Linked DNA regions of Mus musculus. The protein of the gene in region 2 purifies or fractionates together with the protein of the main gene of each other region. This does not show direct contact. Links are inferred from orthologs where the notes say so. Each region holds a gene or a part of one and is shown on either strand. Other genes may lie near its edges.

What was found. Proteins that work in one complex are often made in the same cells at the same time.
Region 1: the proteins of Rpa1 (region 2) and Rfc1 purify together in Homo sapiens (affinity purification with mass spectrometry; 3 studies listed by BioGRID, with this or other methods). This does not show direct contact. The link is inferred for Mus musculus from reciprocal best matches to the Homo sapiens genes RPA1 and RFC1.

What each region holds. Positions count from the first base shown.
Region 1 is NC_000071.6:65,276,512-65,280,163, forward strand, and holds part of Rfc1 (replication factor C subunit 1), read right to left. Parts: intron 3,304-3,652; coding exon 2,946-3,303; intron 2,313-2,945; coding exon 2,200-2,312; intron 961-2,199; coding exon 846-960; intron 1-845. UniProt on the Homo sapiens protein: Subunit of the replication factor C (RFC) complex which acts during elongation of primed DNA templates by DNA polymerases delta and epsilon, and is necessary for ATP-dependent loading of proliferating cell nuclear antigen (PCNA) onto primed DNA.
Region 2 is NC_000077.6:75,303,325-75,306,976, reverse strand, and holds part of Rpa1 (replication protein A 70 kDa DNA-binding subunit), read left to right. Parts: intron 1-761; coding exon 762-869; intron 870-3,652. UniProt on the Homo sapiens protein: As part of the heterotrimeric replication protein A complex (RPA/RP-A), binds and stabilizes single-stranded DNA intermediates that form during DNA replication or upon DNA stress.

The sequences.
Region 1 (3,652 bases), on a different chromosome or scaffold from region 2:
TAATACTTCCAAGAGCCATGTACAGCAAGCTATATGGAAAGACTGCCCATTAGTACAGTATCTGCCTTGCAAACATAAGAACCTGGGTTCAAACCCTAGAACACACATAAAAAATCTTGGGTGTGGTGAGGTGCACACGTCTCACATCCACACACACCCACATACATATACCAAGAGACAGAAAAAGTGGGGGGATGGGAGAGGGAGGGAGGGAGAGGGAAGAAAGAGAAGGAGGGAAGGAGGAGAGAAAGAAAGAAGGGGGGAGGACTCTTCTGAGCAATTTCTTTCAAAAACTAACTTCTAACATAAAAGTACCGCAGTTCTATGGCACTCTCCACAGGCATGTGGATCCTTACCTGATACATCTTCATTTCCCCATGAACTCAGCCTTTTGGGACCACTAGTTACAACACAACCTTCCACAGTGATCACACCTTCTTGCTATAAATGGGCCCTTTCATTCTTCAAGGCTCTCTGAATCAAGTCATCCTTTTACTGCAGAGTACACAATCAGCTCCCCCCCCCCCCCACACACACACACACACAGGCTTTCGGCCTCAGTGAACGGTGCACTTCACTCTCCCCGTTCTCCTTTACAAGACTCACCTGGAACTGTCCAACATCACACACAAAATGAAAACTGTATATGCACACATTTCTATCCCAGTCTCAAAAACCTCTGAGATCACAGAGCAGAACTAATGCCCCAGAAGAGTTATGCCAAAGGCCTTTCCTATCTTGATGCCTCAGGATACTTACCACACAGGAGTGCTCATTACAGAACACTGAAGTGACTTGTTTTTCTTAAACCACATCTATAGCCACAGTTCAAAAAGGGCACATACTTGTATAAAAGCCTTTGATGCTGGTGTTGTTCAAGGATTCAGCAACAACTGCTTTCAAACTGTTCTTACTCCGAGTATCACTTGCATTTAGTTCCACATAACTGTAGCCCAATTCCTAGTCAAAATATTAAAAATCATTATTATAACAGTGCAAATGATCCTGGGCAGCAGCTGATTAAGGAACACAGAGGTTCCAAAAGTCACATTAAACATGAGTAAAAAATTAAGTATGATACCAAAAGGCCACAAATCTAATTCCCCACAGCATTAGAGATTCTTAAAACAACACATACACAGAGGAGTTTGGTTTTAAAACCACAGCTGGTAAGCTATGTATGGTGGCTCATGCCAGGGTATCAGACCACCTGCCTGTATCATAGTGGGTGTATTCAAATAACCCTTACTTAATAATGGCTGTCTTAGTTAGGGTTTCTATTGCTTTGATGAAACACCATGACTGAAAAGCAAGTTGGGGAGGAACGGGTTTATTTGGCTTACACTTCCATATCACTGTGGATCACTGAAGGAAGTCAGGACAGGGACACATACAGAGCAGAATCCTGGATTCAGGAGCTGATCCAGAGGCCATAGAGGGTCTGCTGTCTGTCCTGCTAAGCCTTTCTTATAGAACCCAGGACCATCAGCCCAGGGATGGCCCAACCCACAATGGGCTGGGCCCTCCCCCACTGATCACTAATTGAGAAAACGCCTTACAGCTGGATTTCACAGAGGTATTTCCTTACCTGAGGCTCCTTCCTTCTAAGGTCTGGCTTATGTCAAGTTTACACAAAACCAGCCAGTACCGTGGCCCTAGACAGTAAGAGGGGGAGGCAAGGAGGGTGCCAGGACACAGGAGGCAGACTAACTATATGAAGTGGCACTGCTGCAGGGCACGGTGCACAGGGCTCTGTACCACCTGCAGCCACGGCATCTCCTGAGCGCCTAGTAACACATCCTCCACCTATAAGGGAAAATGGATGTTTTTATAATAGCCAATTCAATAACAGGTTTAAGGTGGGGTTTGTTTTTTTTTTCTTTAATTTTCTTTAGATTTTTTTTAAAAAGACTTGTGTCCTGGAACTTACTATGTAGACTAGGCTGGCCTTGAATTAACCTCGAGATTCACCTGCTTCCTCAATGCTGGGATTATAGGCATGCACTACCACACCCAGCCAGAATAATAGCATTAAAAAAAAAAAAAAAAAGAAGTGACAAACACCACTAAAGCCAAAGAAAATTCTAAAGTTTGACTTTAGAAAAATATACACTGTAGATTAACACAGACACACACACACGCACACACACACACACACACACACACGAGCTGATCACTGCACTATGACAGGGCACCCACCTGACACACAAGAGAAGCTGTAGTGGTTTTGCCAACACCTGGAGGGCCAGACAGCAGAGCTGCCTTGAAACTGGAGCCATCATCTTTGCTGGCAAGTTTGCCAAACTTTGCTGCTAGGGAAGAGAAGTTCCAGAGCATTAACATGCACCATATTTCAGACACTCCAGATCAGAAGGAACCATTTATGAACTGCCCGAGAGCTTTGCAAAGCAGAGAGGAGAGTGCAGACCAAAAGCAAATGGCAATGTAATGAGGCTGTAGGTCACTGTGCCAGTGCTTACCTCAGCTTCTTCCAGTTTCCTTAAGGGCCCTGGGCATTCTCTCTCTCACAGGCCTTCAGACACTGGCACTGGTTGTTCCTCCAGCCCAATACCACACCCATCTCCCTTAGCCCAGCTGTCTGCTACCTGGACTCCAAGGTCGCTCCAGGGCTGAGCGCTCACACCCTCTTCCTTGACTACACACCAGCATCCCCAGAGCTAGCTCCCTGTACTTACCCTACAAAAGCACTTGGCACATGCATTTTAACAGCTGGCTCATAATCTCCCCACTCTCTGGGGGCCCCTGAAGGGCCTGCTTTGTTCACAGAAGCACCACCAGGGCCTAGAGCACTTGGGCACTCAACAAGCCTCGATAAATACTTGATGACAGGCAAATGAACCATGCATGAGCCTTTGGCCATGAATACAACTGAGCACTACATATGTTGACAGACACACAGAAAATGACTAAAGTTGTGAAATCACCATGTTTTTTCTCTTCAGGAGAACTCTTGTGCCAGTTTCTGAGCCAACGTAGTAATTTGTTGGCACAGCTCTGGTCACCCTGCTGTCCGATTATGTTCTTGAGTGAGGCGGGCTTGTACTTATCCACCCAGAGCAGACATTCCTCTTTGTTGCTACTGCGGTTGCCATGTGTCTCCTTGACATCCAGGCCCCTTGGGCACGTGCTTGCCTCCTTCTTCACTGCCTTCATAGGACTGTTCTTTAGGAGAGTCAGCTTGCACTTTTTAGACTCTGACTCCTTCTTGGCTGGACTAATTTTTCTTTTTCCTTGATCATTTTTTTGGGGTGTTCGCTCCAATTTGGACTTTTCTTTCTTCATCTGCAGGGGAAATCAAAAAGGCCTGATGAAACACAGAAGATTCCTGTCCTGCCACACACTCCCCAGAGGCAAACTGACACAGCCAAGTGACTGGGCTGCTGTCACAATGGGCTATCAGTGTCTGCAGTCACCATTTTCCAAACTTCACAAACATTAACAACACGCCCAGAAAGCCAATACAGTCATCATTTTTAAAATAAAGACAGGATCATGAGGTAAACAACTTGCTTTAAAGCTTCTTGACTACGTAAAACCAACGTCTCCTCTAAAACGCACATATACAACGTCACAGCAGTGCTGTGTTACATGGTGCACATGCGCATTACAGCCATAAAAGAAGAGCCCAAAC
Region 2 (3,652 bases):
TGCCCTGCTGGGCAGCGGTCACTTACACTGAACATGGCGGCATATGTCTGTAACCCCAGCACTTGTTACGGGGTAAAGGAGACGCAGGAGGAGTTCAGGGCCAGCTGTGGCTGCCCAGTAAGTATGCGGGCAGATTGGGCTACGTTATTTGCTGTCTCAAAAAACTAAAAGATGTCAAGCATATTGATAAGGGAGGAGGAGAGAGAGGAACCCACTATTACCATGGAGGCTCATTAAAAACTTGCCGTGCGAAGCCTTTTGCATCAGGAGGGGACAGCTCTGTCTGATGCTCCGACATCTGCGGAAGTTTACTTGGCCCGTCTCCCGAGGTCTAAACTCACACCTCTAGCAGATTGAGTTCGACCACATTTTAAGCTTCTTCCTGTGGCGTAAGACTGGCGTAGCATTACCTGCATGTAGCAGGGCTAGCACGGCCCAGCCTCCCCTAAGTGTGCTCAGAGCATTTGCATAGCCTACGCTTGGTCAGAATCACCTAACACAAAGCCCACTTTATGATAAAGGTATTGAGTGGCTCCTGTAATTCATTAGATACTGTACTAAAAGTGAAACACGGGGTGACCAGAAGTGAATACTTCCTCATAAGGGGGAACCGTTAACCAAAGAGTCGGGGGCTGTGTGTGGCGGCAATGTCATTTCTCCCTTGGAAGTTACTTTAAGTAGGAAAAGATAATCTTCCCTCGTCCTTGGGGTGTCTTCCTTTTGTTATTTATTCGCTGAAATAATAGAGTTGTGTTTTTTAGGCAAATATTGCAGATTTTCAAGAGAACCAGTGGGTGACGTGTTTCCAGGAGTCTGCAGAGGCCATCCTTGGACAGAACACTATGTACCTTGGGGAACTCAAAGAGAAGGTTGGCTTTGTGTTTGTCCGCGCTGTGATAATGCTGGCCTTATGCCACTGAGCTGTTGAATGCTTGCTTTGGGTGTGGTGGATGCGCGCACTGAGTGAGGACTTACCTTTGTCTTTTCTGTATGTATCTGGTGTGAGGTAATGCGTCAGGGAATGCCATTGCACAGAAGCACAAGCCACCTTTGCCCCATCCCCATCGCTGTTTTTTGTTTTTGCATCAGAGCTGGTGTGTTTCCGGTCACTCCAGAGCTACAGGGTGTCTCCTGAAGTGTGCTTCAGCCTAGTAAACACCTTTTAGGAAAGTGGAGTCAAAGCTTGAAGTAAAAAAAGAGAAACGCAAGTGCATATCCGGGCACTTGCTGTTTGGGGTTGTCAGGAGAAGGTCATAGGAAGCCACTTTGGTGTGAAGGGAAGACTTCATTTTGCCTTGATGGTTGCTGTCTGTTGTCCCAGCACTTGGGTGGAAACAGGAGGTTCACTCAGACCTCCAGGCCAGCTAGTGTCCACAGTGAGTTCAAAGCTAGCCTGGACTACATAGCAAGACCCTGTCTCAAAAATATATACATTAGAGTAAACAGGTGAATTGGGACCCTTGGGGGGCCTCAGTGAGTGAAGCCCTTGCCAAGCAAATCTGACCACCCGAGTTCCATCCCTGGGACCCCTGCGACCCCTGGGGTGGTGGAAGGAGAAGACCTGCTCCATGCGGTTGTCCTCTGACCTCCACGAATGCGCCTGGCATGCACACCACACAGTCAAAACAAATGAACATTAACTGACTTTACCTTTACTCATTTGCCTTCTTATACACTAGGTTTATTTAATGCAGAGCAGAAATTATGCCAAACATAAGAAAGACACTAGCTAAGGTAAAAAAAAAAATAGACTAGTTAGTAAAAGCTGTGTTTTCTAGTTCGTGGGGATTGGTACCTGTGTATAGTGTCCTTCCCTCCTCCCTCCATATCGCTTGGATGCGTGTAGAGGCCACGGAGGAGGAGCTTTTGCCATTGTTTCCTGCACTTTCCTTTCTTTTTCTGCCCTCCACGCTGTTTAAATCACCCACAAGGTCTTAGCAGATAGTCCGTCCCGAGAAGTCCTTCCACACAGATAGCTGGAATTGACTTTTAAAGTATAGTTTGCCTTTTATCTGTCTTGCCCTCTGTTTTCATATCAGATTTTCAGGCTTGGGCAGCCTTTCAGGATTTTTTATGAGCTTATTATAGTTGGCTGTTCTTGGTGCTGGTGAGGACGCACAAGGCTTCCCTCAGGGAATGTGCTGCTCTGGGGGCCTGCAGCCGTGCTTCCCTGACCCCAAAGAGCAGTGGCGTCTGCTTTAAGGTTTTTTAAGATTTAACATATTTTCGTTTACATGTTGAAAATCCAAAGAATGTTTTGTTTTTTTTTTTTTCTCAAATGGCATCTACTGAAAGAAGTCTGTATGATAAAGCTGTTTCCATAACCATGTACCTGCAGGCTACTTAGCTTATATGAACTGTTAGTTTTATATACAGTTGATGTTCATACTTTGGGGGGGGGGTGTTTTTTCTTTGGTTTGGTTTGGGGCCCAAGTGTCCCTGTGGTATCACCCACACACCCCCAAATCAAAATCCAGCTTTGAAAAAGAATTACATCTCTGTGAGTTAGAGGCCAGCCTGGTCTACAGAGTGAGTTCCAGGATAGCCAGGGCTACACAGAGAAACCCTGCCTTGAAAAGCAAACAAAAAATTACCAAAAAAAAGTAACCAAATTCGATAGCATTCAAGGATTGGGAAGAAGAAGGTGTTTTGTGGCCTTGAGTATATGATAATGTGAACGCTTTTTTTGTTTTGTTTTGTTTTGAGACCGGGGTCTCACACTGTAGCCCAGACCGGCCTGTGTAGCTGAGGCTGGCCTCCGTCCCGCTGTGATCCTCTTGCCTTACCTACAGAATACTGTGATCACACGCTTGCGCCATCGAGTGTGGCTTTCCCTGGACTTTTCCAATTATTTTAGTGGGAGTTTTTGTTTTGTTTTTTTAAAGGTATTTTTTTTAAAGATTTATTTATTAATATATGTAAGTACACTGTTGCTGTCTTCAGACACTCCAGAAGAGGATCTTGTTGCGGATGGTTGTGAGCCACCATGTGGTTGCTGGGATTTGAACTTTGGACCTTTGGAAGAGCAGTCGGGTGCTCTTACCCACTGAGCCATCTCACCAGCCCCCAGTTTTTGTTTTGTTTTACTTGGCGACAAGTTTTTACTATGTAGACCCGGAACTCACAAAATATCCACCTGCTTCCCGGTGCTGGAGGTAAAGGACTTCCAGGCCCAGCTTCTGCTCCGTTTTTATTTAGTTTCAGTACAAATGTTTTACCTGCAGGGATGTGGGGCCGCTTTCCTGCCTGGTGCCTGAGGAGGCCAGGAGAGGCTGTCAGATCCTGGTTGTGAGTGACCTAGTTGGTGCCAGGAAAGGGCCACCATGTGTGTGTTAACCACTAAGCCATCTCTCCTGCCTCTCCTACCCATTTCCTGATTCATGCTGGGGCTCAGATAGCTTCCCCAACAAGTATTCCAAATTTTAGAAATGTGTTCCTAAGATTACTTAAAATTTTTTACTTGTGGTAAAAGACACATAAGCATAGCCATTGTATGGGATTTTTATAACCATTTTGGATACACACACATACATACATACACACACACACACATGCACACACATACATACACACCACATACACATACATACACACACACACACACACACACACACAATATGGCATTAGCCATATTCACGTCATCGGGCCCTAG